Linked DNA regions of Oryctolagus cuniculus. The protein of the gene in region 1 interacts with the protein of each later gene in a pairwise test. Links are inferred from orthologs where the notes say so. Each region holds a gene or a part of one and is shown in the gene's direction. Other genes may lie near its edges.

Evidence for each region.
Region 2: the proteins of XRN1 (region 1) and ZFP36 interact in a two-hybrid assay, tested with the Homo sapiens proteins (2 studies listed by BioGRID). The link is inferred for Oryctolagus cuniculus from reciprocal best matches to the Homo sapiens genes XRN1 and ZFP36.

Annotation. Positions count from the first base shown.
Region 1 is NC_091435.1:139,434,295-139,448,922, forward strand, and holds the start of XRN1 (5'-3' exoribonuclease 1), read left to right. Parts: upstream 1-6,912; 5' UTR 6,913-7,063; coding exon 7,064-7,138; intron 7,139-14,628. Other genes in the region: serine/threonine-protein kinase ATR, read left to right, coding at 4,127-4,232, 6,012-6,185. UniProt on the Homo sapiens protein: Major 5'-3' exoribonuclease involved in mRNA decay. Required for the 5'-3'-processing of the G4 tetraplex-containing DNA and RNA substrates. The kinetic of hydrolysis is faster for G4 RNA tetraplex than for G4 DNA tetraplex and monomeric RNA tetraplex.
Region 2 is NC_091449.1:15,535,748-15,550,414, reverse strand, and holds ZFP36 (mRNA decay activator protein ZFP36), read left to right. Parts: upstream 1-4,072; 5' UTR 4,073-4,208; coding exon 4,209-4,232; intron 4,233-4,994; coding exon 4,995-5,906; 3' UTR 5,907-6,593; downstream 6,594-14,667. Other genes in the region: PLEKHG2 (pleckstrin homology domain-containing family G member 2), read left to right, coding at 10,026-10,134, 10,795-11,054, 11,131-11,231, 11,835-11,901, 12,031-12,077, 12,319-12,469, 12,675-12,812, 12,999-13,199 and 6 more. UniProt on the Homo sapiens protein: Zinc-finger RNA-binding protein that destabilizes several cytoplasmic AU-rich element (ARE)-containing mRNA transcripts by promoting their poly(A) tail removal or deadenylation, and hence provide a mechanism for attenuating protein synthesis.

The DNA of each region.
Region 1 (14,628 bases):
AACTATAAAATATAGAAACCAAATGCTTGCCCCCAGCACCATTTTTTGAAAGGATCATTTTCCTCTGTTTAATCATCTTTACATTTTTGTTGAGTTGGCCAATAGATTTTCAACTCCAGTGATCTATGTGTTTAACTTTATGCTAACTACATACAGTGTTGAGTACTGTGGCTTTGTAGTAAGTTTTGCAATCAAGGAGTTGTGAGGGTCTCAACTCCATTCTTTCAAGATCGTTTGGCTATGGTGTTCCCTTGCATTTCCTTATGAATTTTAAGATCAGCTTGTCAGTTTCTATAGAAAAATCAGCCTGGATTTTTATTAGAAAGGCCCTGAATTTATAAAGCAATTGGGAAGGTACTGCCATCCTACCAATATCCTGATCCATGAACATGAAATATTTTGTTGAAACCTTCTTTAATTTCTTTCAATAATATTTTATAGTTTCTGGTTTGAAGTCTTGCATTTAATATTCAAGTTTTGTATTCCTTATAATTCTTTTTTTAAGATTTATTTTATTTATTTGAAAGGCAGAATTAAAAAAGGGAGAGAGGGAGAGATACACAGAGAAAGATCTTCTATCCATTAGTTCACTCCCCAAATGGCTGCAACAGCTGGTGCTGGGCCATGCTGAAGCCAGGAGCCAGGAGCTTTTTCTATGTCTCCCAAATGGGTGCAGGGGCCCAAGGACTTGGGCCATCTTCAGCTGCTTTCCCAGGTGCATTAGCAGGGAGTTGACTTGGAAGTGGAGCAGCTTTGACTCAAACCAGCACCCATATGAGATTCCGGCTTAAAATGCTGCACTAAAACTCTGGCCCCCATAAAAATATTTTACTTCTTTTCATTTACCTGGAAGAGCAACAGCCAGAGACAAAGAGAATAAAAGATATCTTCTATCAGCTGGTTTATCCCCAAAATGCACAAAACAGCAAGGGCTGAGCAAGGCCAAAACCAGGAACTTAGAACTCCATCTGGGTCTCCCATGTAGATGGCAGGAGCCCAAGTACTTGACCTATCATCCATTGCCTCCCAGGATGCATTATTCTAAGCAGCACAGCAATATGGCATACAGGCTTCCCTAGCCATAGTTAGGCATCCACAGTGCTCACCCCTATTGCTTTTGATTCTGTCCTAAATTGCATTTTTTTCTTAATTTTCCTAATTGTTCGTTGCAAGAGTATAAATACACAACTGATATTTGTATTACTGACCTTATATCCAGCAACCCTGCTCATCTCTGCTGTAATTATTATTTCTGTAGATACCTTAAGGTTTTTTTCTCTGCACATGCACTACAGATATAGTTTTTATTCTTTCTTCCCAATTTCACTTTTTATTTCTTTTTCTTGCCTAATTACCTTGTCTAGACCAATGTTGAATAGAAATTGTGAGGGTAGACGTCTTTGTCTTGTTCCTGATCTTGTAAAGCTGTCAGCCTTTCACATTAAAACATGACATTAGCTGTGGAGAGCAGATTTTTAAAGAACCTTTTAAGCTAAATTATTTGCCTTCTTTATTTTAAAAGGTATCTAGCAGATATAATGGCAGAGTACACTGGTTAGTTAGATATAGGCAAAGTCAAATTCTGCGAAAGAGGAAGTGTTTCATCTTGTTAATCATATTCCAGGAGTCTATCTGTCAGTCTGGGGAAATTAGGAAATAATTTCTGGAGGAAGTAGCTTAGACTTTAAAAATAAATAAATAGAGTTGATCTTGCAAAGGGGAAAAGTATGTTCTGTGATAGAAGTAGCAAGGCAAGGGAAGGCATGGCCTGTCTGAGAAGTGGGATACAGTTGCCCTCCTGTTACAGTAGGGGATATGTTTCAAGACTGCAAGTGGATGCCTGCAACTACAAGTGATACTGAACCCTATATACCTATGGTTTTTCCTATATGTACATACCTATGATAAAGTTTTATTTATAAATTAACAATAATAACACATAGTAAAATAGAATAATTATAGTGATATGCTATAATAAAGTTGCCAGCATCAATACTCTTGTGGCTTAGGTCATTATTAAGTATACTAAGGGTTATTTGAACACAAGAACTGTGAAACCATGACAATCGATCTGGTAACTAAGACTACTACTAAGTAACAGATAAGCTTGTCTGGTATGTGCTGTGGAAACAGAAGACAAAAGAATCATATCTTGGGCAGGACAGTGAAAGAGCATGAGATTTCATACACTTGCAAATTGTTTATCCATGGTTGACCATGGGTAACTGAAACCACCAAAAGCCAACTCACTATGGGGGCCGGGAGGGGCCTACTGCACTGTTTTCTTGAGAGTATTTTTCAAAAAAAATGATACTAATAATGATACTAGACAGGGGAACAGCTCTACATGGTGAAGGCTCCACTTTAGGCATATTTTCACATTTAAACTTTGCCCTGAGAAGCCTTTAGAAGTTTTTTTAAAAGGGAAATTTAAAAATAAAATGGAGAGGCTCTCATTCTTTGTCGAGATATCTACCTGGCCTGCCACATGTATTCTCTTCATTAAATTTTGCTTTCATGCTTACTGCTGATCTCTATGTCTCACATTTGAATTTCTTTTCTCGTGGGAACACAAGAACCTCTGTTCCACCTGTTTCTAGACATGGCTGTGCATGTGCAGAGAGAACCCAGTGCAGAGAATCATATCACTCAACCTAGACATATGCAAAAGAAAGAAAATACAAAAGTGTAACTGGTGGAACCAAGAAGCCAGAGCAACACTGGAACTTGGTATTCCAGAGCCCATTGAGGAGCAAAAGCTCCCTAAACACACAAATCCAGGCCTGAAGGGCCCTCTAACCATGTTGGCCCGATTCCAAGCTTCTCCAGTTGATAAGGGTAGGTAGGGAGGAAGAGGAACAAAGATGATTCCTAGATTTCTGTCCAGGACAAATGGGCAAATGATATTGTTCTTTCCTGATTTCAGGAATATGAGAGAAATGTTGGGAAAAGGTAATGAGTTTTGTTTTGAAGATACTGAGTTTGGGATGCCTGGAACATATCCAAGAGGGTATTTCTCATGATTAGTTAGATTTCCTTCTAGAGTACAAAATAAAGATCTAGGCTGGGTCTTTAGGTGGCAATAGGTATTATATGACCACTGAAACATGGCAGGAGATGAAATTCATTCATGCAATAAACATTTATTTACCAGTTAATAGCATACATTTTAGATGACATACAAAACTCATCTTGTTCTATTTAGCACCTCCAGAAGACACTTCTGTCTACTATCTTGAGTCTTCTCTGCCCATCATTCCCTTACCCTCTCTTCACCCACAACAATAATTTCATATACCTTACTAAAAAGGCAGTACAGTGGGCCGGCATTGTGGCACAGTAAGCTAAGCCCCTGCCTGCAGTGCTGGCATTCCCTATGGGGATGTTCGTGTCCCAGCTGTTCCCCTTCTGATCCAGCTCTCTGCTTATGGCCAGTAAAGCAGTGAAAGACAGTCCAAATGCTTGAGCCCCTGCACCCATGTGGGAGACCCTGAAGGAACTCTTAGCTCCTGGCTCCTAGCTCTGGCCGTTGTAGCCATTTGGGGAGTGAACCAGTGGATGGGGGATCTCTTTCTCTCTGTCTCCTTCTCTCTGTAACTCTACATCTCAAATAAATAAAATCTTTTTTTTTTTTTAAAGTAATAAACTAAGGTATTGTAAGAGTATTGGCTGGTGCTGTGGCATAGCAGGTTAAAGCCCAGGCCTGCAGTGTTGTCATCCCATATGGGCGCCGGTTCAAGTCCTGGCTGCTCCACTTCTGATCCAGCTCTCTGCTGTGGCCTGGGAAAGCAGTAGAAGATGGCCCAAATCCTTGGGCCCCTGCACCCATGTGGGAGACTCAGAAGCTCCTGGCTCCTGGCTTCAGATCAACTCAGTTCTGGCCCTTGCAGTCATTTGGGGAGTGAACCAGCAGATGGAGAACCTCCCTCGCTCTCGCTCTCGCTCTGGCTCTACCTCTGGCTCTGGCTCTCTCTGTAACTCTTTCAAATAAATAAAATAAATTTTTTTTAAAAAAAAGACTATTACCATTAATTTCTCATCCTTTACTTAGTCCTTAGATTATAACAAGGTTTCTTTTTGCAAAGATAACATTGTATTAGTAGCATGCTATTTGTTTTAATTGTAGTGTCTTGAAGACTTTTCTGCATGATCCTCTTGTGGAGTGGAGTAAACCAGTGAAAGGGCATTCCAAAGCATCACTGAACGAAACTGGGGAAGTCCTCAACGAAAAGGTCAGTAGAAATACGTCTAGCTTGATATGAGCTGACACTGTACGTCTCTACAAATGAGAACTGATTCTCAAACCTGTTGGTGATTATTAATTTCTCTGAAACCTAGTTGTATAGTTTGACAATATCTTACGTTTTATTGTCATTACTAATGTTAGCATTTAACCAGAGAACTTGCAACTAACGAGGCAGATTGGAGAAAAGTGAGCATAAATTACCCTCATTTATAGAGCAGTTTCAATATGATGCCAGTGTGCCAAAATCCATCTTGACAAATGTAATGACTCAGTCCTTATTAAAATTAGTTGAGGGTCCAGTGCTATGGCCTAATGGGTAAAAACCACCACCTGTAGCACCAGCATCCCATTTGGGTGCTGGTTTGTGTCCTGGCTATTCCATTTCTGATCCAGCTCCCCTGCTAATGTGCCTGGGAAAGCAGCAGCAGATGACCCAAGTCCTTGGACCCCTGCAGCAACACAGGAGACCCAGAAGAAGCTCCTGACTTCTAGCTTTGGCCTGGCTCAGTCCTGGCTGTTGTGGCCATTTGGGGAGTGAACCAGCAGATGGAAGATTCTCTCTCTCTGCCTCTCTCTAATTCAGCCTTTCAAATAAATAAATCTTTTATAAAATTCATTGAATCTTCAAGTTTACAGATAGTTGTTTTTATAAGTTAGAATAGATTGAGGACCTTTTTCCTAATAACATCTGATATGCTTTCTTTATAGACTTGTAGAATTCCAAATAGGTCACTTAGAACTCTATTTTCATTTACTAACATTGCCTAAATATTAGGCATTAGAACATTGTTGCTGTTATTATAGAATATCAATCAAATGTTTAGGTCTTAAACAGTTTCAAAGCAGATTTTTAAAAAGATTTATTTATTTATTTGAAAGGCAGATTAGAGAGAGAGAGAGAGAGAGAGAGATCACTTTCCCATCCCAAATGGCCACAACAGCTAGGGTTGGGCCAGCCCAAAGCCAGGAGCCAGGAACTTCATCCAGGTCCCCCATGGAGGTGGCAGGGGCTTTAGCACTCATAGGCCATCTTACTCTGCTTACCCAGGCACATTAGCAGGGAGCTCGATCAGAAGTGGAGTAGCTGGGACTCAAACCTGCACTCCTATGGAATGCTAGCATTGTAGGCCATGGCTCAACCTACTGTGCAACCATGCCAACCCCTCAAACCAGATTTATTTTAAGTTTTCAAGAAAGGCATTTGGTACAGTGGTTAACCCTGCATCTTGGGATGCCTGCTTTATATATCAGAGTGCCTGGGTTCAAGTTCCAGCCCCATCCTGCATTCCAGCTTCCTGCTAACATGCACCCTGAGAGGTAGCAGGTGATGGCCCAAGTAGTCGGGTGCCTGTTGCCCACATGGGAGACCTAAACTGAGTTCCAGCTCTTGGCTTCAGCCTAACCCAACCTTGGCTGTTAGAAGCAGTTGAGGAGTAAGACTAGGATGGGAATTCTCTCTCTCTCTTCCCATCCCTTCCTCTCTGCCTTTCAAATTAAAGTTTTAAAAATATTTCTCTAGAAATATAATGTTCAAAGAATTCCCTGCCATTTCATGTAATACAGAAACATGTCCAAGCCATTCATTTTGAATTAAGATTGACATCCTCAAAAATTCATATAAAAAATTTACTTTTTTCCACATCAGCCCCTATAAAAGAGGTATTGATCAGCAAAACAGTGTCAGCATTTATAAATATCAAGAAATTATCAACATCCTCATATACTGAATTCTTTTCTCTAATGATTTTCTGTTTCATCTTTTTAGGCTAAGACTCATGTTCTTGACATCGAGCAGCGATTACAGGGTGTAATCAAGACCCGAAATAGAGTGACAGGGCTGCCATTATCTATTGAAGGACATGTGCATTACCTTATCCAAGAGGCTACTGATGCGAACTTACTCTGCCAAATGTACCTTGGTTGGACCCCATATATGTGAAATGAAATTATTTCAAATGTTAAACCTGACTTTAATGCATTTGATATTCATCTGTGGCTGTATCCAATTCTAAAGTACCGCATGTTTCTTTGTCTTAGAGCAACTGGTATTACTTCTGCCCAATTGTGAATAGTATTTTAAATAATATATGTTGTTATTAAGAAATAAAACTTATTTCTTAACATGTGTATTTGATTACGTGGAGAAATGTGTCAAATGGATTTGCAAGAAACAGTCTAGCCTAATTTCGTTTCACAACTTTTATCAATTTCCCTTTAAAAGTACTAGTTAGCCCAGGAATTCATTTGAACAAAATCCTATCAAATACAGTGAGCACGGTACTGTGCTTGTAAGAGAACTATAAACAGGCTATCATTATGTTCACTTAAAACTCTGGTATGTTTTCCCTATGACACACAGGGGGAAAAAAATCTTAAGAAAACTAAAGAAACATTTTGTAATTTAAACGTGCTGCCTGCCGTGTCGTGGGCATAAAGAATGTACAAACCCGTGGTCATGGAAAACAGCTGTACTTAAAATTCTATGGAGTTTTAAAAATCACCTCAACCCCCCCAGCACGACTGGCCTTTCCCGAAACGCAGAAGGCTGACCTCGGAACTCCTCAGACCCTCGGCCGCGGCACAGCCGCTAGGAGCACTGTGACGCCACGGCGCCGGCGGCGGCCAGGGTAGGCGGGGCTGAGTCCCGCCCCGGGCCCGGCCTCGAATCCGGCCGCTCTAGGCCCGCCGGGCGCTCTCTATGGTCGCGCGGCCGGTGTGTTGTCATCGGCGGAGCGACGTCCGGAGGCGGCGGCGTAGGCCCCGGCGGGGCGTTTGGTTTCGGTTTGTCCCTGACTAGAATTAGTGTTGACGGTCGAAATGGGAGTCCCCAAATTTTACCGATGGATCTCGGAGCGGTATCCCTGCCTCAGCGAAGTGGTGAAGGAGCATCAGGTGGGTGAGCGATGCGCGGTAGCTCGGCAGGCTGAGCACTGGGGGCTGCGCGGCCCTCCCTCCGCTCCGAGACCCGGGGTTTCTAGCCTTTCGCTTGTTGTCGGCCCGACGAGTGGCGAAGGCAGCCCAAGAAGGTGTGAAGACCCCGGGATGATCTGAATTGGGGACAGACGCGCGGGGCTTCGGGCTGTTCTGACAGCTCTCCCGCCTCGGCGGGGCCTTCCGCGCCTTGGAGATGAAGTCCGGGGAGGGAACGATATTGATGGGGCTCCCCGCTCCTCCCCAGGGGGGCTTCAGGTCGCTGTTCCCTCTGTCGGGGCTGCGAAGCTGGTGTGGCCGTCCCCCCTTCCCACCTGAAGCCGCGGTGTCTACGAACAATAACAGCCGCCTCCGCGGTTGAATCACCTTGTTTACTTTTCCTTGCCGGGAGCTGCATCCCACCCCGCCTCCACGCCTGGACTTTTCCGACGTGCCCGAAGGGTCACGTTTATGATGCCGATTGTTACTCTTTCTGGTATCCCAAAGAAACACCAATTCCGCTGTTGCCAGAGCCGCACTTGGACGTGCGGCGGGCGTTATTTTGAGACTTTGGGGAGGAGAGAGGGGTTGTTTGAGCGTTGATCCTACTACGAATATTTGGCATGTATTGAAACCAGGGCAATGCAGATTCCAACAATGTAGTTTGTATTTTGCAACTGTGGGAAGAGAAGAGAAAGCAGTTGTCCGATAGATAAGCTAGACTTTGGATGAAACTTTAATGTCGGCCCCATTCGGTGAATTTGAGAGCTCTTTTTGTTTGTATTGTGTTTTACAAGGGAAAAAAAGCAGTTTCAAATGTATGTGGCTGATTGGGTTAGTTGTCATGAGTAGCGCTGTGTTAATAATAGGGGGAGGGAAGTAACTCCGTGAATGCCATCGTGCTGTAAAATAATGGTTTGATCTTTTGAAAATATTTGTAAACTTGGGGGAAGACTTAAACTTCTGCAAAGGATTGTTTGTTGTTGACTTCCAATCAGATTTGGTACATGAGAAAAGGCTTTCAAAAATACCAAAACACTGGCTTATGATTAATTTATTTGGAACAGTGCATTGAGTTAGATTTAGGAATGCATTTATTTCCTGAGAAGAGAGTTTTAAAAGGACACCAGTACACTGAAGACATACAACTTACTTTGACTTTTCCTGGATCCTTCCATCAAACATTTGAGTACCTGCCACACACACATCAGTCACTTTAGTTCTAAAGTGAACATGTAAGATGATTGCCAGAGTGACCTAATAATGCATGATTTGTTCAGCAATATTTTATTTACTTATTTATTTTAAATTTTATTTGAAGGAGAAGGCAGAGAGGAGATAAATCAAAAGATCTCCCACTCACTGGTTCAATTCCCAAATGCCTCCAACAGGCAAGGCTGGACCAGGCAAAAGCTGGGATCCAGGAACTCAATCTGGGGCTCCCATGTGTGTGACAGGGACCCAACTACTTGAGCCATCACCCGTTCCCTCCCAGGGCGCAGCATTTGCAGGATGCTGGAATGGGGAGGAGAGTTAGGACTGAAACCAGGCACTCGGATAAGGGATGCAGATGTCCCAAGAAGTGCTTTAACTACTGTGCCAAATGCCCACCCCTGCTCAGTACTATTTTTATTCAGCACTCTTTGGCACAGAGCTTGGTTTAATGAAAATATCTTGGATTCTCTCCATCCTGAGGACTTTTTTTGTTACTGAGGAACAAAAATAGTCTAAGACAGTTTATGACATGAGCACTAAGGGTAAGTTTTCTGAAAACTTTACTCTAGATAGAAACTGAGAGTAAAATTTTTTAATTCCACATTAAGTAAAATTGTTTTTAAATTCCACTTGAAGTAAGCTTTAAAACTTCATTCATCACAGTGATGTCTTTCAAAAGTGTTTGCTTAAAAGGGACAGAAGGGCTACCAGGCTACCCTCTGTCAAGCAGTGCTTATAGACAAGATGACCATGCTTAAGTAAGTCCCGGTGGTTCAAAGCTAGTCCTGGGTAGAAGGGATTGCGAGGGAGAGTGTTCCGTGAAATGGCAGTGGTGGCACAGCATCCTTTTCTTAGTCCTGATTCCTCAGGTAAAAACAGAAAGCGAAACTAGATAGCAATATTTAAGACCCATAAAACAATTCTAACAATCCACGGGGCATAGTATCCCCACACACCTCAAAATACAGCCAGGGAAGACAAACTCTCAACAACATAGGCACCGTTGACATCTGCAAGAAGAAGGAAGCTGGGGCTTCTTCTGGAGGACCGAGAACAGGAGAACTCCAGAATAGCCAAGAGGTTTTCACTAAAAGACTGCTGGCCAACTAGAGGGCAGTGCCTGAGTCCGAGGAGTTTTACTGACTAGTGAAAGGTCTACAGTAAGAAAGAGCAAAGGGCAGGAGCAGTGTATGTCCTGTGAACCTTTGAAACTAACTTGTCACAGTGCCATTCTAGAGCACATCCCACCCTCTGGAGAAGCGGCTTGGACTGGAATAAGATTTTTTCATGAAAGAAGCATTGGAGACAAAACAGATGATCCAGATAAAAATGAGGGAGGCTACAAAGTTAAGAGATCTTAGAAACCAACAAGCAAGCCATCAAGTTTTTATACTACCCAAAAACAGCAGAAAAGGGAGCTGGTGAAATTAAGGCTTTCCGGCCAGTGCCGTGGCTCACTTGGCTAATCCTCTGCCTGCGGCACCAGCACACTGGGTTCTAGTCCCGGTTGGGGTGCCGGATTCTGTCCCAGTTGCTCCTCTCCCAGTCCAGCTCTCTGCTCCACTGACTGGAAGGCAGTGGAGGATGGCCCAAGTGCTTGAGCCCTGCACCCGCATAGAAGACCAGGAGGAAGCACCTGGCTCCTGGCTTGGGATCAGCACAGCACCGGCTGCAGCGGCCATTTGGGGGGTGAACCAGCGGAAGGAAGACCTTTCTCTCTCTCTCTCTCACTGTCTAACTCTGCCTGTCAAAAAAAAAAAAAAAAAAAAAAAAAAAAAAAAGAGAGAGAGAGAGAGAAAAGAAAAGAAAAAGAAATTAAGACTTTCCTAAACCTTTGTTTATTCTAGAAGTTCAGTGGGGCCCAGCGCTGTGGCTGTGGCATAGCAGGTAAAGCCACTGCCTGCAGTACTGGCATCCCATATGGGTGCTGGGTCGAGACCTGGCTGCTCTGCTTCTGATCCAGCTCTTTGCTATGGCCTGGGAAAGCAGTAGAGGATGGCCCAAGTCCTTGGGCCCTTGCACTTACATGAGAAGACCCAGAGGAGGCTCCTGGCTCCTGGCTTCCGATTGGTGCAGCTCCGGTGGTTGTGGCCAATTGGGGAGTGAACCAGCAGATGGAAGACCTCTCTCTCTCTCTCTGCCTCTCCTTCTGTCTCTGTGTAACTCTTTCAAATAAATAAATAAATCTTTTAAAAAAAGAAAAGAAAAAAGTTCGAGAAAGTTAAGTTTTATAAAAATAAACAGAAAGGTATTAATATCAAATCATATACAAAATTATAAAAAGGAACAAAATAATATCCTAACAGATATTATAAGCTTATAATAAAACACACGGGGAAAACATTCAAAAACTGTAACCTATTTCTGAAAGAAAATGCACTAAGAAAAGGCATGAAAACACACACACACACACACACACATATATATATAAACTATGAAAACTTAGGAATGAGATGACATAACCTAAAGAAAATTTGAAGTAAATGGAAAAAATCATTTTAGAAATGAGGCCTTAAGTGAAAAAATAAAAAGCAAGAATAAATGATACAATGGGTGGGGGGAAGGGTAGAAAGAAAAGGACATTTTTAAAAAATTAAAAAGATAAAAAGCATTCAAGAAAAAGAACAAATAACAATAGGCAAAGAAGACAAATAATGCTACTAAAAAAAAAAAAGCCAAAGCAACATAAACACTAAAACTATAATTCAAACTTTCCTGAAATTTAAAAAACAAAAACAAAAAAACCTTGCATATTGAGAGAAATACTGTGTACCTGAGAATACTGATTCAGATGACCAAACCAAGACATATTCCGGAAAATTACTAGACTTTAAAGAAAAAGAAAAGGACTAGCGAATTCACCCAAGAGTCCCTTTATTAGGGACAGGTTTCCCCTAACAGTTGAAGAGAAGAGAAAAGACAAAGTGAAAATAGCTTTATAAATCTGAAACTTCTAACCACATTGTTTGATTTTGTTGAAGATTGGTGAATGGTTTTATCTTAGCATTGATAGTACCACCGCTGAAGAAGGAAGGAGAGAACAATTCTGTAGACATTTTGTTCAAATAATCATTTCTAGTTTAGCACCAGGTCATCCTTTATGTGTCTTCAGAACTTGGAGCTTACAGCTTATAAGGATCGGTGACGTTGTACAGCAGTTCCAGCTTCTGATGTAGTACTCTGGGTTTGTTCCAGAGCACCTTGCTTTACCAATAAAAGCCATTTACTCTCTTGTAGAAATGTGTGATTGTCCAGTACCTCCCATTCTCAGGCTTTGGTATGAAATCCTTTATTGTCATCGAGTCTTGGGAAAGAAGAGAAGCTGAATGCATCCATCATCTGTGTCCTTTACAAAATAAGTCATACAACTAAAACTATAAACTATTAGAGTATATGCACTTCTTTTTTACATTATATTTCAGCACAGTGCCAAAGCCAAAATTTGTTAAGCACTTGCCATGTTTCAGACACTGTTTTAAATGCTTTACATACATTGAGTTTTTAAACCACTAGTAAAGTAAATACTGGAACTGAATTTGAAATCAAGTTGAATTGCTCTAGCACTGTGGTTTATTATTGTTGTCATTATTATTACCCCTATTATTAACCCTCTTTAGGAATCTCTTTAGGCTTGTTTTTTTTTCCTAATCACTCCCACTGTTCCATAGAATTTTAATGTCACAGATGTACTGCATATCTGTTTATGTATGAACACCAATTTTGACACTTTGGGGAGTGATATTTTTAATAATTAATAATGTATGCTGTAGATCCTGCATTATTTTCTTCAGTATGATAAAATATCCATAACAGTTTTACAATCTTAATCATTTTCAAGTGTACAGTTTAGTGCATTCAGATTATTATACTATACCCATGCTTCTAAAACTAATCTTTAATGCATTATGCTAAAAGATGTTTCTTGCTTAGGAAAATCTAAAATTTCAAATTGTAGGGAACACATGCTGGCATCTCTATTTTAATGTATTTGCTGTTCTATAGAGGTCTTATCAGTCATATTGTTTATTGTGCTACTCTATTCACTGTATTTCTCAGCCCCCAACATGATGTGTGGCACATAATGAGTACTCAATAAATATTTACTGAGTGAATTTAACAACTGTAGCACATTATATAATATGTAAAGCATAACCCTTGGAAACTATATATTGAAATATGCATAGTATATTAGTAGGTTATAAAACTTCCTTTCTTGAAAATGAATTGAAGCAGCAAAATCTTGAGATTGCTTAAAATGAATAAGATTAAAGGACTGAAAGGAAAGTTGTTGACAGCTCCTTTAGTCAGCCAAAACAACATTGTTTGGCTTTATGTAACAAGAGTTTTGCAACAATACTAAGTAGGATACAAAGTTAGACTAACAAAAAGAAACTAATGTTTTTAAGATTAGATACTATGATATTAATACTTAACCACAATTTGAAGCAGTATAAATACATATTCCAAGGGATTGTGATAAGCTACATGTGATGTCACCTCCCATGAAGGGAAGCTTTATTTTTTATTGATTAAATATTTTTGATTTGCTGCTTTGTGTTTTGCAGTCTGCTAAGGAATCTTTTTTTTTTTTTTTTTGGATTTATTTTTTATTTATTTTAAAGACAGAGTTACAGAGAGAGGTAGAGACAGAGAGAGAGAGATCTCCATCCTTGGGTTCACTTGCCAGATGGCTGCAATGACCGGAGCTGCAGTGATCCAAAGCCAGGAGTCAGGAGTTTCTTCCGGGTCTCCCATGCGGTGCAGGGGCCTATGGACTTGGGCCATATCTACTGCTATCCCAGGCTATAGCAGAGAGCTGGATCAGAAGAGGAGCAGCCGGGACTAGAACCAGCATCCATATTGGTTGCTGGCGTTTCAGGCCAGGGCTTTAACCCACTGTGCCACAGCGCTGGCCCCTCGCTAAGGATTTTAAACAACAGACAATCCAGAGGCACTGGTTTGTTTTGAGGAGCTCATAGTTCAGTAGTGGAGAACTGTTACATGCGTTAAGCATCTGATTAACTGTATTGAGTGCCTGTATTACCATCTGATTAACTATACTGAGTACTGGTAATGTGCCAAGCATTCTTTTACATATTGGAAACCCAAAAATAAGATTTTGCTCTTAAGATGCAAATCTGAGGACAGATTTGAAAAGCAGGATAGCAAAAGTATTCAGTGAATGCCTAATTGCCTTATTAAGTAAAGTGCGAGAGGCACATATGAGATACTGCTAAATAGAGTGTGGTCTCTTGGATGAGTAAAGGAAAGCTTCCAGCCAAAAAGCTTGAGCTGGATGTTGAAAGATGAGTCAAAATCCTGAAAGCCAGTGGGAGAAAGAGCAGGAGAAAAGAGCATTTTAGTAAGTAGGAAAAACATCTGTGAAATCAGGTTTGAAATAGCCCAGGACATTCAAGGCCGTCCGAGTACTTTACTGTAGTCATTTTTTAAAGTGTACGTGGAAACAGGAAAGAACATGGGATTGGTGGAAAAAGATAGCTGTCAAATCATGCAGGATCTTTTATAGTATTAAGATTTGTATTTTCCTATATAATTCAAGTAAGGAAGTGACATGATTAGATTATGTGTTAGGGAAATGGCTGAGCTGTGATGAGAGAGAAAACTGGGAGCAAGCTAGTCCAGTGCAGGAAATCTGGGAAAAACAAAAATATGAGATTTCCTAAGACAGTGAGAATGGGTAAGATGGTGAAATTCTGAAAACATTTTGGGCATTAATTTTAAAATCATAGGAAAGCACTGGGTGACTAATAGAGTTGCACAGGGAAAGAGTGTAAAGTAATTTTGAAATTTCTTAACTTGCAGATATAATAGCTCTGGGAAAAGAAACTACATTATCAGTATTACTCTTTTGTGAAAGAGCAAAATTTGGCATGTTCTTTCTTCACTGCAGTGGCTAACGATGACTTATTCTGTTTCTTGCTTACTAATCTGAAATCCAAGAGAATATGTATAGTTCTTTTCTAGAAAGAACATTTTAGTATTTTATTTTCAGAATTTTAGGTAATATGTGCTCATTATAAACAAATTCAAATACAGAAAAATGTAAAAGTTATAGTATAGAGATTGAAAATGAAAAGCAATTTTTAGAAATTCCAACATCCAGGTTATCTACTAGTAAGATCTTGTTTCTATATACTTCCTAACTTTTCTGTGTTGTTGAACATATAAATATGTTCTGTAAGTAGGACAAATAATGTACTTACTGTTTTATACCCTAGGTTGTCACTTGACCATAG
Region 2 (14,667 bases), on another chromosome or scaffold:
CCTCAGGTTCAGCCCAGGCATTTGGGCAGTGACAGCTGGGGGGAGGCGGGGTGTCAAAAAACTTTTTTCATAAAAACAGTTTGAGAATTTCGTTGGGTAGTAAGTTTCATGAGCACTCATGGCCTCCAAATACGATTTGTTAAAAAAAATGACAAGTTTTCTTTTAATATGGATTTTTCTAATCTTTCACAGAGGTCAAGGAAGCCTCAGTGTCGGGTGATCTTACAGCAGCTTTGAAGGAGAGGAGTAAGTGCTGTGGCCACCCAGGGTCAGTACAAAGGCCCTGAGGCAGGAGTGGGAGGAGGGAAAGGAGTGGGGCTTTGGTGAGCACAGGGGATGCAGAGCCGCCCTTGGGCTCCAGCAGACCAGCAGAACCTGTCATCCGCCACCATGCTGCTCCTAGGGACCCCATCCCATTGAGTCCCACAAACAGGGAACAAGCCTACCATGCGAATCCACAAACAGCCCTGTAACCACCACTTAGCCCGCTATCTCTCACCCATCGCAGACTTTGCCCATCACTGGCTGACTCAGCCCTGCTGTCGGCCAAACATCTGCAGCAGACTCATCAGCGGGCACAGATAAGGCCGGTGCACACTCCCGGCCTCTCAGGTGCAAGTGTGCGTCGGCTCTGCCCTCGGAGGCGGAACTCAAACAGCCACACGGAGGGGGGTCACGCCAGCCACCCTCCACATCACGCGCAGCTCACGTCAGAAACCAAAGTTCACCGGCTCCACTGCCTTGTGACTGGGCCACACAGACGCGGGCCCGCCGCCTTCTCGGGCGCATGCGGGCTCCCAGACGCAAGCAACGACACAGACACGCACGTGAACACCAATCACACACCCGAGGGCTCCGGCTGCCACCGCCAGCCTCAGAGCTGCTGCGTGCAGCCCCTCGGCCTCCCCCCGGGCCAGGCACCTGCCCGCGGTCACACACGCTGAGTCACTCCGGATCCGTCCGTGGTCACAGCTGCACACGGATGTGCAGGTGGGCACGGAAGCCAGCGTCCTCCCCACGGCCGCCGCAGCCACAGCAGCAGGGCACTTACTGAGTCCTCCCCACACACCCATTCCCCGGGACGCCTAAGGCACACGCGGCACGGCCGATCACCCGGGGAAACCCTGCACACCCCTGCCCGGGCACCCCGCACATCACGCCCCCAGGGGCCTGCTTCCACGCTCCACACGCCGGCCGGCCGGCCCTCGCCCAGACCACGCCGCCAGGCGCGCACACGTGCCGCGCGAGTACACGGCCCCCGGCTCGCCCGTGCGCTCGCACCGGCTCTCACACCCCCGCGTTTCCCGTCCCCGCTTGTTTTTCTGGAAACTCTGCTCTCCGTTCCCCTCCCCCCCACGGGCCGGAAGTGCTCGCTGTATTTTTAGCTTCTCTGGTTTCCGCCCCCTTCTCCCTGCCCCCCTCCGCGGCCCGCAGCGGGCGCGCACCCCTGCAGCAGGCGCGCACGCCCCGCGGGGACCCAGGCCGCCCCCTTCCCACCGTCATTCCACAGGGGATTCCCGGCCGCTGCTGGAGCCGCGGATTTTCCCGCTGGCTACGTGGGGCGTGGGGAGGAGTCCCGCCGTGAACTTCCTTCTAGTCTGAGACGCTGAGGCCCGGGGTGGGGGGGCGACCTTGACTCCGGGCCCTGAGGGAGGCGGGGCAGGAGCGTGAACTCCCGGGTCTGAGAGGAGGGTGGGGGCCTGGACCCCGGGGTCTGAGGGAGGAGGGCTGGGGCCTGGACCCCGGGGTCTGAGGGAGGAGGGCTGGGCCTGGACCCCGGGGTCTGAGGGAGGAGGGCTGGGCCTGGACCCCTGGGTGTGAGGGAGGGGCTGGGTCAGGACCCCGGGGTCTGAGGGAGGAGGGCTGGGTCAGGACCCCTGGGTCTGAGGGAGGAGGGGCTGGGCCTAGACCCAGGGTATGAGGGAGGAGGGCTGGGCCTGGACCCCGGGGTCTGAGGGAGGAGGGGCTGGGCCTAGACCCCGGGTCTGAGGGAGGAGGGCTGGGCCTGGACCCCTGGGTCTGAGGGAGGAGGGGCTGGGCCTGGAATAACTAGCAAGCTGAGGCGGAGGCCTCGCTGCGTGAGTCCACGGGGTTTGAGTCGGTCCTTTCGCGCACCAACGCCGGCCCCCAGACTCCTCAAGAGGGGTCGGGTCCCCACCGTCCAGCGCTGAGGCCCATGACTCAGCAGTTGAGAGAGGGGAGGGGGCCAGACTGACTCAAGGATGGGAAATGTTCCCTGTCTCCAAGGAATCGAAACTGGAATCCCTCCTCCAGGATCGCGGCCAGAGCCCAGCCCGGCCCCGAGGACCCCGGGGCGCAGCGCCCCCCACCTCGCGCGGGCACACGCACCGCAGCCGCGCGGGACTGGGCGCCAGCGTGGAGGCAGGAGCCTCGGGTCCCCTGTCCTCCACCCCCGCCCCAGTCCTGGGGCTGTGTTTACAGGAGATGGGAGCCCTGGTTACGAGAGGAACCCGGGCGTCCGGGCTGAGCCTCCTCGTCACGGCTTCCAGGAAGCCCCCCTCCCCCGCCCCTCGCGGGTGAGTCACGGGCGAGCGGGAGGCTGCGACCGTGCCAGAGCTGCCCGCGGCCCGCCCCGCTCACGGGACCGGCCGAGGAAGGCCCCTTGGCCCCAGAGAGCGCCGCAACAGGGATTCCCCGCCGCGCCGGGGCCGCTAGAATCTCCCCGCCTCGGCACGGGCCCGCGGCCCCCAACAGTGAACTTTGCGCCATTGTGACCGCCGTGGCGAGGACTTCCTACCCCGTGTTTTCACCGGGCAGCAAGCTCACCGAGACCCCCTTGGGGAGGGGGAGGGGGAGGGAAAGTAAACCAGCACCCCCTACCCCCCCCAGATCTTAGCCGAGAGTTCTCACTGCGGGCCGCGCTTTGATTATGAAAGACTCGCCAACATGGCGAAGCAGCCCGGGCAACCGAGGCTTCTCCCCGGGCACCCCTGGCGGTCGCAGCCCGGCCGGCCCGCACCTGGGGACAACCCACTTCTTGCGTTTCAAAACAGCGCTCGGGCGAGGCGGTCTTCCCCAGGAGCGAGGGCCCGCCCACCTGTCCCATCTTGGGCGCCGTCCGGCAGAGGCCCCGCGGCCGGGCGGCTGCTGCTCCCGGGCTGGGGGCCTGCGAGGGTGACCTGACGTGGGTGTCCGGCAGTGTGAGCGCGTGGAAAGCGGAGACAGCCCTGAGTGCCCCCGCGGGTGTCTGCGACCCCACCCCCTCTCGATGACGGCGGCTCCCAGGCCTGGGTCTCCGGTTTGGGAGCGAGGCGGAGCTGCCCCAGCAGGTGTCAGAGAAGGGAATGCCCTATCAGGCAGAATGGTTTCCCTCCCTGCACTTGGCCAGAGTGGACTTTGGGCCTGGGGGGGGGGGTGTTGTTTCTTTGTTAATTCTTCCTCTTGGGGGTTCTTTGCGACCCCCCCCCTCGCTCGCACCGCTCCCGCCTCAGAACTTCTCTGGGGGGGTCGTCTCCTCCCTCGGTGTAGAATCTCTGCCTGTGTCTCTCCACCTCTGGTGTCTCTCCCTGCGCCTCCCTCCATCTCACCCTCTCTCAGCACGGCTCTGCGTGTCTCTCCCTTTCTCTCAGCGTTATGCCTTCCTGTCTCTGTGTCCCTGCGACTCCCTGTGTACGTCTGTTTCCCATGTTCCCCCCCCCACCCCCACACACACCCCGGGTCTCTTCCTCCCTGTCTCTCCCTTTCCAGCTACCTGCCGGCCTCTGGCTCGCTGTGTGAGCCCGTCCCTCCCTCTGCTTCTCGTCGGTTTTTTCTCTCCTCTGCCCACCCCCCGCGCCGTCAGCCGCGCAGGCCCTCTCGGCCTCTGCCCTTGTCAGTTGCTCCGGCAGCCCTGCCCCCACCCGTGTCCCAGTTCCATTCTCCGGCCTCCGTCTCTAGCCTTGAAACCTGGGCAGGCAGACGCCCTTCCCGCCCCGCGCCCCACCCCACGCACTCCCCTCCGGGCCGCCCCGCCGCGCGCAGGCCCCGTCCTGGCCGGCAGCCGGGCGGAAGGGGACTAGCCCAGGGCCCGTCGGGCTGCGCCGGGGGCGCGCGTCCGGGAAGCGCCCCTCCTGGCCCCGCCCCGCCCTGGGCCCGCCCCTCTCGACCACGCCCCCACTGCCCTATAAGAAGGTGTCTGTCGCGGGTAGCCGCAGCCTGGTTTCAGCGCTCCGACTTTGGGCCGATCCCTCAGGGCCAAACGCGCCGCCATGGATCTCACAGCCATCTACGAGGTGAGTCCCCTCCGGACTCCCCAGCGCCGGGACGCTAGCCTCCCTGCCAAGCTGGGGGGGGGGGCTCTTCTGCGCTACACCCTCCGACCCCGGCCCCCGGCTGCCTTTTCCGGACCGACCTGATTATCGGGGGGCGGGGGTGGGGGGTGGGAAGTAAAAATGGAGCCCCCGCCTGCCGGCTCTCGGCCCGGCCGGCACTTGGGTGGGGGCCCCGTGGAGTGGCCGCTGGGAAACTTTGCTCAGACCAGGGCTGGTCGGAGGCGGAAACGGCGCCGCACCTGGCTCACCCCTCGTAGTCGCCGAGGGCGCGGTGCCGCGCGGAGGCGTTTTTGGGGCTGAGTCTCGGGGCGGGGAAGCCGACTTCTGCCTCTGACGCCTCGACCCGCCTTCTCCGGGAACTCAAACCCCAAAGACCAGACTCCCGAGTTGGCTCTGCCAGGCTCCTCCCGTTGTGAAACTGGAGAACTAACCCGCTGCGCTCCTCATATCCGGGAAGGCCCAGCGGCTCCAAGTTGGGGACCTGACTTTAGGGTCCCCTGTTGATCCTCCCGGGAAGCTGGGATTCCTCCTCCAGCCGTGGCTCAACGCAGAGCCCCTGAACCGGGATCGCCGCTGGGTTCCGGAAATCCCGGTTGCCGTGGGCGGGTGGGGCTCCGGCCGGGAGCCCACAAACCGGCCTGGCAAGGTCTTGAAGTGCCCTGCAGCTGGGGCGCGCCTCGCCCTGCGTCTGCGGGTGTCCTAACCCGATCCCTGTTCCCACAGAGCCTCGTGTCGCTGCACCCTGACCCCCCATCCGACCACGGAGGGACGGATCCTTCGGGACTCTGGGGCCCGGCTGGGATCACCTCTCGCCTGCCGGGCCGCTCCACCAGCCTGGTAGAGGGCCGCAGCTGCGGCTGGGTGCCGCCACCCCCTGGCTTCGCACCCCTGGCTCCCCGCCCGGGCCCGGAGCTGGCGCCCTCGCCCACCTCGCCCACGGCGACCCCCACCACCTCCTCCCGCTACAAGACTGAGCTGTGTCGGACCTTCTCGGAGAGTGGACGCTGCCGCTACGGCGCCAAATGCCAGTTTGCCCATGGCCTGGGCGAGCTGCGCCAAGCCAATCGCCACCCCAAGTACAAGACTGAACTCTGCCACAAGTTCTACCTCCAGGGCCGCTGTCCCTACGGCTCCCGCTGCCACTTCATCCACAACCCCAGCGAGGACCTGGCCGCCCCCGGCCACCCCCACGTGCTGCGCCAGAGCGTGAGCTTCTCCGGCCTGCCCTCCGGCCGCAGGACATCGCCTCCGCCGCCGGGCCTCGCAGGCCCCTCCCTGTCCTCCTGCTCCTTCTCGCCACCCAGCTCCCCGCCCCCACCGGGGGACGCTCCGCTTTCACCCTCGGCCTTCTCTGCCGCCCCTGGGACCCCCGTGGCTCGAAGGGACCCCACGCCCGCCTGCTGCCCCTCCTGCCGCCGGGCCAACCCTGTCAGCATCTGGGGGCCCTTGGGTGGCCTGGCCCGGAGCCCCTCGGCGCACTCCCTGGGCTCAGACCCGGATGAGTACGCCAGCAGCGGCAGCAGCCTGGGGGGGTCCGACTCTCCTGTCTTCGAGACGGGAGCTTTCGGGCCACCCCAGCCGCCTGCAGCCCCCAGGCGCCTCCCCATCTTCAACCGCATCTCCGTGTCTGAGTGACGGAGATCCGTTGGATAGAGGGGCGCCGCGGTGTGCCGTGGGTTCCGCTGGGCCCAGGGCCTGTGGGGAAGGGATCCTAATTCATTCAAGTGGGTCCCTCCCTCCCCCGCATTCCAAAATGCATTAACTTCACCCCTGACCCCACGCTGGGGCAGGTCCCCGGTGTGCAAGCTCAGTGTTCACGGTGTTGGGGGACAGAGTGCTCTCTGGGGTTCTTTGAAGATGTAGCATACTGGAGGGAGACAGTGAGCCCCGTCCCCCCCGACCTGCACCCCGTCTGAATCTCCTGGAATCTCATGTGCTGTGAATAGTAGCCCCCTGCGCGCCCCCTCCCACTTCTTCCTGAGGTCCCAGCGTCTGGTGGTGAGTGGAGCCTCCCCGAGGGAGACTCCTGGTGCTCAAATTTCCCTCCACAAGCAAGCAAAGCCGTTGCCAAACCCCTCCCCCAACCGACGGGCCCTTTATTTATGACGACTTTATTTATTCTAATAAGGTTTTATAGTATTTATATATATTGAGTCGTCTGCTTCCTTTGTATTTTTTCCTCCTCTTTTTTGTAATATTGGAAACTGGTATAATTATTAAGTATGCTATAATAATATATTAAGTAATATATATTGTTACCTTAAAAGTCTATTTTTGTGTTTTAGAATTTTTAAATAAAAGGAACCGGCGTGTAAACTGGAACCCTGGCCTTTGTGCTGTCCGGGGCGGGGAGGGGGCGAGAGCCCAGCCGCCCTGCGGCGCTTACCTGGCAGGAAGTGACGTCACCAGGCCCGCCGTTCACCTGAGAGGGCGGGGCCAGGTGAGGTCACGGGGGGGAGCCGGGCGAGCCGGTTCCCGAGGCGTCTGGGGACGCTGCACTCGCGTCCTGCCGGGCTGCTAGGCCCGAGCGGGCGGGGACGGGACATTTCCGTCCCCACGGGGCCGGGGCGGCGAGAGGACGGAATGTGCCGGCGCCAGGCGCGGGGCGGGCGGGGACGGCCCGTGGAGTCTGGGGTCTGCTGGGCTCGGAGTGCGGGGGAGGGGGCGCTCCCGTCTCAAGACCCGAGAACCTCGGGACCCCTGAGATCTGGGCCCTGCTCTCTGAGAACCGGAGGCCTCGGCCGTCCCGGTCCCGAGGTATTTCCGGGCCTTGCGAGTCGCGGCCTCGGCTCCGGCTGGGGTCGAGCTCCGAGGCCTGCGCGTGCGGGCGGGGCCCGAGCGGCGGCGGCCTCGGACCATACAAGGCAAGAGGCGTCGGGCGCCTCCGCCGGCCGGGGGGAGGGGGCGCCCCGCGCCCGGAAGCCGCCCGGCCCCGCGTCAGCGCCCCGCCCCGCCCCTCCCCACGCCTCCCAGGCCCCCGCCGCCCCTCGGCCCCTGCTCCCCGGCTCCCCTCCGTCCCCTCCCCCTTTGTTCGCCTCCCTCCTCTTCCTCTGCGCCTTCTCCCCAGGCCGCCTCGATCCTCCCCACCGGCACCCGCTGACCTTTGGACTCCTCGTCCAGGAAACGGCCTGGCTCCCTTGTGGGAAGGAGCCCCTGTCCCGGCCTAGGAGAAGGGAAGTGGCCCCTCGGCGGCGGGCAGCGCAGAGCCGGTCGCAGAGAACAAAGGAGACCGCACGGCTCTCCGCCTCTTCTCCCGAAAAGCCCACACCCAAGAGGCCGCCCGCAACGCCTGCTGCCCGTGCTCTGACCAAGTGCCTGGGAGTCCCTAGACACCCCAGCTCGCGGCCACTACGGCGCTTGGCCACCCCCCACCAGCCGGTCAAAGGAAGCCGGTGTGGCACCTGAATCGCACAGAAGTCCTGAGCGCTGGATGGCCACGACTCAGGGTTGGCCATCTCCTAGCCTGCCCCTCACTTCACCGACACATGGGACCCGCCTGGACCCAGGGCTTCCGCACTGGCTGCCCCTGTGCCGAGCGCAGACCCTGCTGTCCTCGTGGCTCGCCCCCTCCTCCAGGTCTTTGCACAAACGTGGCCTTTTCGGTGACCTCCTCCCTAGGATGTCAAGTTCACTGCTGTTACCACCTGCATCTAAGCGGAGTCAGGCACACACTGAATGTTCAGGCGTTGGAAGAAGTCGAGAGGAAAAGACAAGTTGAATAAGGGAGAAAGAGGAAGAGCCCTACCGCACAGTGTGCGGAGGACCCACAAGTGTCAAACTGAGATTTGCAGACTCGAATCTGCTGCACAGGGCATCTAATCAAGAGGTGACACCACCCCCTGGTGGCCAGTACGGAAACAGCACCTCCTCCCCACTCTGTGCCCAGAACTCTTCGGCGGACTGTCACCAAGTCCCACGCGAGTTTCCAGCCCGAAAATTCTGGAGATGGAAATGTTCGTTTCTGTAAGTGATGTAGATGTTCGGGTTGGTTTATGAGATATATAAGTTTATGAAAACTGGCGGGGAAACTAAAAGTGCTCCAGGTGAGGATCGAACTCACAACCTCGGCATTGCTCCGCCTGCACTGTCATATAAGTACCGCGCGCTAACCGATTGCGCCACTGGAGCTCCGGCCGCACCCTTGCGCCGCGGAGTCCTTCAGTCGTTCATGACCACGTGACCTGGCTGGACAACTCCGCCTAGCATTGCATGTGCAAATAGAAACCGTCTGGCTGTCCAATAGGAGAGAGTACGTGCCCAGTCACGAATTCTCACGCCTCGGAGGCCCTCGCTGTAAAAGGAAATAGTCCGCGGGGCTCCTGGAATGTGGGCGTGTAGCCTGCCTGGGGACGCGCCTCCTCATGAATATTCAGCTGCTGGGAAGGCGGGGTCTTAACCCTTCGCTGGCGGGCCGGCCGGAAGGCGGCCCCTCCCCCCCGCGGGCGGGAACAGGATATGCGCCCGGGCGGCGGGGGGAGGGGAAGCCCGGGGCGACCGCCCCCCGCCCCACAGCTGGGTCCGGACTCTCCCGCCCCAGATGTGGCGCCGCCACCGCCGTGGGATCCCCCTTGCCATCCAGCCAGGAGCCTGAGGCGCCCCGAGTCCTGAACCCAGGCATCCGGAATTTCTGCACCGCGTCCGTAGAGACCTCGGAATCCAGGTGCCCGGCACCCGGACTAGAAGCTCTCAGGTATCCAGCGCCCCCACCTGGGGGAGCCGGCGGCCCGCGACATCAGTCCCCCGAGGGACCCTGGAGACCGAGCGTCCCGCAGCCCTGTTTGGAGGACTCGGGACCCGGAACTACAGACTCCCTCCAGCAGTCCCCAGGAGCCCGCGCCCAGGACCTCTGGGTTGGAGGAACTTGGGGTCGGGCCCTCCAGAGCCCCAGCGCGGCACTTTGGGGCTGCAGCATCCACCACTTCGAGGGGACTCTGGAAGTTGGAAGCCCTACGCTCCCGCCACTAGTGTGAGGGGAACTCGGGAGTCCCGCACGGCCCCACGCGGAAGACCCAGGGTCCCCATCCGAGACTCAAGAGTCGAGGCTCCCGGCCCCCCAACTCAGGACACCGAGAACTTGGGCCCGCCGGCACCCACTGCGCGGGAGACCCCGGATTCTGGTGGCTGAAGCCCGAGAGCCCCCCCCGGGGCAGCGCGCTGGGGTCGGGCCGGACCCGGGCAGCCTCGGCCCCGGGGAGGTGAGCGGGAGGCGCGGGCCCCGCGGTGGGGGAGGGGCGGCGCCGCGGAACAATGAGGGGGGCGTGCCGGCGGGGGGCGCCGCGGCACCGGCCGGGGGCGTCCAGGGCTCCGGGCCAGCGCCCCGGCGGCGCGCGGCCCTCGGCGGGGGAGGGAGCCGTCTGCGGGACCCTGGCATCCGGTCCCCCAGCCTCCGCCCTCCCCTGGGACCCCCCGGCCTCCCGCCTACAGCTTTTCCCAGCCCTGCCCCTCGCCCTGCGCTCCAGGCCGAGCCCGAGCGTTCCCAGGATCCCGGAGCCGCCGGCCGCAGCCTCTACGGCGCTTTGGCTCCCTTCTTTGTCTCCGCTCCCCCATCTCGTTCCGCGGCTTCTCCTCCCTCCCCGGCCCCCTCTCGGCTGTCACTTCGCCTGTGTCTCCTCCGGCAATCGCTCCCGGGGGCTGCTGCTCGTCCCAGCCTCCACCACCCAGCTAGAGCTTGGGCGGCAGAGGCGCCTGCGGGATCCCGTGTCCCACATCCCGGGGGGTCTTTCTGCAGGTCGCTGCTGAGCCGCTCGCTCAGCCATGCCCGAGGGAGCCCGGGGACCGAGCCCGCCCAAACCCAGCCTCCGCCTCGGGTGTGGCCGCAGCGAGGAGGTGTGTGCCTGCGCAGCTGAGTGTGAGACTCGGACAGGTGAGCCTGCAGCCGGGGGCGGAGCCAGGGGGCCTTCGCTCCCGCGTTTGAGACGCTGGGCCGTGCACGGGGCATCCCTGGCGCACAGGGAGGAGAGCAGGCGACAGGTGGTCAGGGCTGTGATGGGGAAAGGTCTGGGGGCTCCGGGAGAGCTTCCTGGAGGCGGGGACATCCAAGCTGAAGAGGCAGAGATGAAGAGGACGCGGAGTTGGGCAGAGACAAAAAGGAAAAGCAGTCCACGCGCAGGGAACAGTACACGCAGAGGCTCGGAGGTGAGACCAGGCTGCGAGCTGCGGCGCCAGGAGGTTCAGTGCGGTGGGCTGTGCAGGCTGCGGGACCCCGCGGCGGCGCGGCGCGAGCTGGCTGCAGAGTCTGCCGTGGCCACACTGCAGGTCCAGGAGTCTGGCCTGTGCCCTCAGGGCACGGACGGGGTCGTGCTCCAGAGTGACAGGGCCAGATGGGCAAGTTAATGAAGGTCAGTCAGCTTGGCTGGGGCTCGGGGGACAAGAGGGCTCCAGACAGAACTGGACCAAGGCGGGGCCGGGGGAGGGAAGGAGAGGAGGGAGCTTGGGAAAGCTGCAGGCCGGGTGGGGGTGCGTGGGGGCTGTAGGAAGGGGTGTTGGCGGAGATGCCCTGACACCCTGCTCTGCACCCCTGCAGCCCCCGCCATGGCTTCCCCCAGAGGGTCTGGGAGCTCCACATCCCTGAGCACTGTGGGCTCTGAGGGGGACCCAGCACTGGGGCCCCCTCCGGCCTGTCCAGCCTCCAGGCCTGAGCCCCCGCCAGGGCCCCCCATCCGCCTGGATCTGTCGCCTGTGGGGCTCCCAGCGTCAGTGAAACCCTCGAGGTTGGAGCGTGTGGCCCGCGAGATCGTGGAGACAGAGCGGGCCTACGTCCGGGACCTTCGCAGCATCGTGGAGGTGAGGCGGGCAGCCGAGGGTGTGGGGGTCCGGGGTCTCCCTGCCCCTCTCCCGTAACCTCAGCCGCCCCCCACAGGACTACCTGGGCCCTCTGCTGGACGGTGGGGTCCTGGGGCTGAGCGTGGAGCAGCTGGGCACGCTGTTTGCCAACATCGAGGACATCTACGAGTTCAGCAGGTCAGGGGCAGAGGGGCAGGCAGGGCAGTGGCTGGGGCGAGTGCTGGGAGGCTGGGCTGTGTCCTGAGCCACACCTTGGGCTGGACGGGGCGAGGCCTGGGGGGCAGCAGGGCCCAGATGAGGTTCGAGCATCAGGCATTGCGCAGGCGTCAGGCTGGGGCTCAGCGCTGTGCCAGGCCTGGGCTCCCGATGAATCCCGGAGTCTTGTGGGTCCTGTGGTTGCGAGTCTGTGTGGCTGGCTTGTCCTTGTTTGCCAGGGGCAGTACTGAGAGTTCCTTGTCCCGGGCAGCCCAGGATGGTCAGTCACCCTAGTGAGGAGACTGCTGGGCCCCAGGGCCAGGCCCTCTGAGCATCCCACAGGATCTTGGCGCCTTCAGTGCTCTGGAGGTCAACAGCACCCCTTCCCCCCATGCTGCCCCTTCCTTGTCATGACACGGTGCCCCCATCAGAGGACCCCTCCTTGGGACACGGCACCCCCTCGAGAGAGCCTGGCAGCCCCCTAGCCCCTCGGCCCAGCTAGCCGTTGGGATGTCAGCCTCCCGGAGTCCCCCACAGAGGGTCGTGGGGGTGGGGCAGCTCCTCAGACCTCCCCTCCCCCCGCAGCGAGCTCCTGGAGGACCTGGAGGGCAGCAGCAGTGCAGGAGGTATCGCCCAGTGCTTTGTGCAGAGGGTGAGTGCAGGTGCAGGGAGCCCTCCTGGGGTGGGATTCGGGCAGGGGGAGAGCAGGCGTGGGCTAGGCTGGAGGGGAGCCACAGGAAGCCGGGGGCCGGGGTCTCCCTGACGCCCGTGTCCCCCGCAGAGCGAGGACTTTGACATCTACACGTTGTACTGCATGAACTACCCGAGGTGAGGGGCACGGAGCCCCTGCTGAGCCCCAGGCTGTGGCCATGAGCTGCTGTGCGGGCCAGCCTCCAGCCCCTGCCCCCCGGCCCACCCAGCTCCAGCCCCTGCCACGCCGTGACCTCTCCCTAGCTGCCCCTGTCCCCGCCCCGACTGCTCCTGAACCTTGGCCGTGCCCTGAGCCCTCCCAGCCCTGCCTGTCAGTCGGAGCCGGCAGCCCCCGCTGACCTGTGTGCTGTGCCCCCAGCTCCCTGGCCCTGCTCCGGGAGCTGGCGCTGTCTCCGCCAGCAGCCCTGTGGCTGCAGGAGCGCCAGGCCCAGCTCCGCCACTCGCTGCCCCTGCAGAGCTTCCTGCTGAAGCCGGTTCAGCGCATCCTCAAGTACCACCTGTTGCTGCAGGTGAGCGGGGCGGGGGCCAAGCCCACGCATCTGGAGGGAGGACTGGCCGTGAGTGGGTGAGGCCAGCCAGAGACGCGTCCTCGCCTGCCTGTCCTGTGGGGTGTGGGGCCTGGCCCGGCTCAGGACCCCCCCCCCGCCTTTGCCCCTCCCTTTACATTACTGTCTCTGAGCCTCCCTGTGTGTGTGCCCTGTGGCTGCCCTGCAGGAACTGGGCAAGCACTGGGCAGAGGGCCCGGGTGCTGGGGGCCGCGAGATGGTGGAGGAAGCGATCGTGTCCATGACGGCGGTGGCCTGGTACATCAACGACATGAAGCGCAAGCAGGAGCACGCGGCTCGCCTCCAGGTGGTCCCAGGGCGGGCTGGGCGGGCCGGGTGAGGGCGGTGAGTGAGGCGGGGGCACTCTCTCAGAGGCAGCCTTGGAGGAGGGCGAGCGTGGCCCCGATCGCTAACCCCTGCTTCTTGGCATGTCTGTGGGTGTCGCCCACCTGTGCCTGTCTGTGCCTGGTGCACCTGGCGGGGCCCCGGGCAGGAAGTGCAGCGGCGGTTGAGCGGCTGGACCGGCCCGGAGCTCAGTGCCTTCGGGGAGCTGGTGCTGGAGGGCGCGTTCCGAGGGGGCGGAGGAGGCGGCCCCCGGCTCCGCGGGGGTGAGCGGCTGCTCTTCCTCTTCTCACGGATGCTGCTGGTGGCCAAGCGCCGGGGGCCGGAATACACCTACAAGGGCCACATCTTCGTGAGTTTGGGAGCTGAAGACCGGATGGGGTGGGAAGGGGCACCCCGACTTTAAAGGGCCACGTTCTCTTGAGTTCGAGAACAGAGGCAAGGCCGGGTAGTGACGGGTGGGCCCTGGACTTGCCCACAAGGCAAGTGTCTTCCTGGGAGGTGGCGGGAGGGGGGGAGAGCATCTCTTCCAGAGGGGGGCAGGAGGGATCTGCCCGGGGGAGGAGGTCGAAGGGGGTAGGGGACAACCCCGTGGGCACATCTTGCCGGGGGCAGGGATGCAGTTGCACCCACAAGGGCACCTGGCCTCTGAGCCTGCTGCCCCTCCCGCCCCTTCACCCAGTGCTGCAACCTGAGTGTGAGTGAGAATCCGCGAGACCCCCTAGGCTTCCAAGTCTCGGACCTGACCATTCCCAAGCACAGGCACCTGCTCCAGGTAAGCCGCGGTGGGTCTCCAGGAGGGCAGGACCTCAGCCCGCCTCCCTGACTCCACCTCCCCCCGCCCCCGCCCCTGCCAGGCCAAGAACCAGGAAGAGAAGAGGCTGTGGATTCACTGCCTCCAGCGCCTCTTCTTTGAGAACCACCCCGCCTCCATCCCTGCCAAGGTACAGCTCCTGCCACGGCTGGGCCCTCCACGTGCCAGGGACCCCTGCCGTGGTCCCCGCAGGCCCCCTGAGTGCAGGGACGCTAGAGGTGCAGGCTGCCCTGCCTGGGTCTGACACCCCCTCCCCCCCCGCCCCACCAGGCGCCCGTCTGGTGCCCTGACCACCTCTCGGGGCCTGGAAGCGCAATAGCGCCTCCCGAGGGTTGTGGTGAGGATCAGGTCAGCAGCCACGCCTCGCTGCACCTGCTGGGAGCCCAGCCCCCCAGCCCTCCTCCTTCTGTCTTTCAGGCCAAACAAGTTCTCCTTGAGAACAGCCTGCACTGTGAGTTGGGGCCTTGGGGTGGGAGCACTTGGGGTTACCTGCACGAGAAAGTAGGTTATTGGCCCCAAACTCTCCCTACAGGTGCTCCCAAAAGTAAGCCTATCCCAGAGCCCCTGACACCCCCACTTGGCTCCCCGCGGCCCCGCGATGCCAGGACATTCACCCCTGGACGGAGGCACACAGGTAAGTGAGCCCCGGCCCCCCCAGAAGCCCCCTCCCTAGGACCCCGGAGTGGGCTCACACGGGGCTTCTGACCGCTCTCCTGCAGCTCCATCTCCGGCTCCCATGGGCAGCCGCCGTGGCCGCAGGCAGTCCGGTGAGTACCACCAGCTGTGGTGACCCGGGGACCAGGTGGGAGCCAGGCCCCTGACATTGCTGTGTCCTCCCCCAGAGCCAGTGAAGGACCCTTGTGTCGTGTTTGCACAGAACGGTCAGTGATGGGTCCGTCCCCGTCTGTCTGTCTCTCCTGGGGGGTGCTGGGGGAGGGTGGGAGAGGGGTGGGCAGCGCACCAGGTACGAGGAGTAACTTGTTCCTGTGTCTTGCTCTCTTCCTCA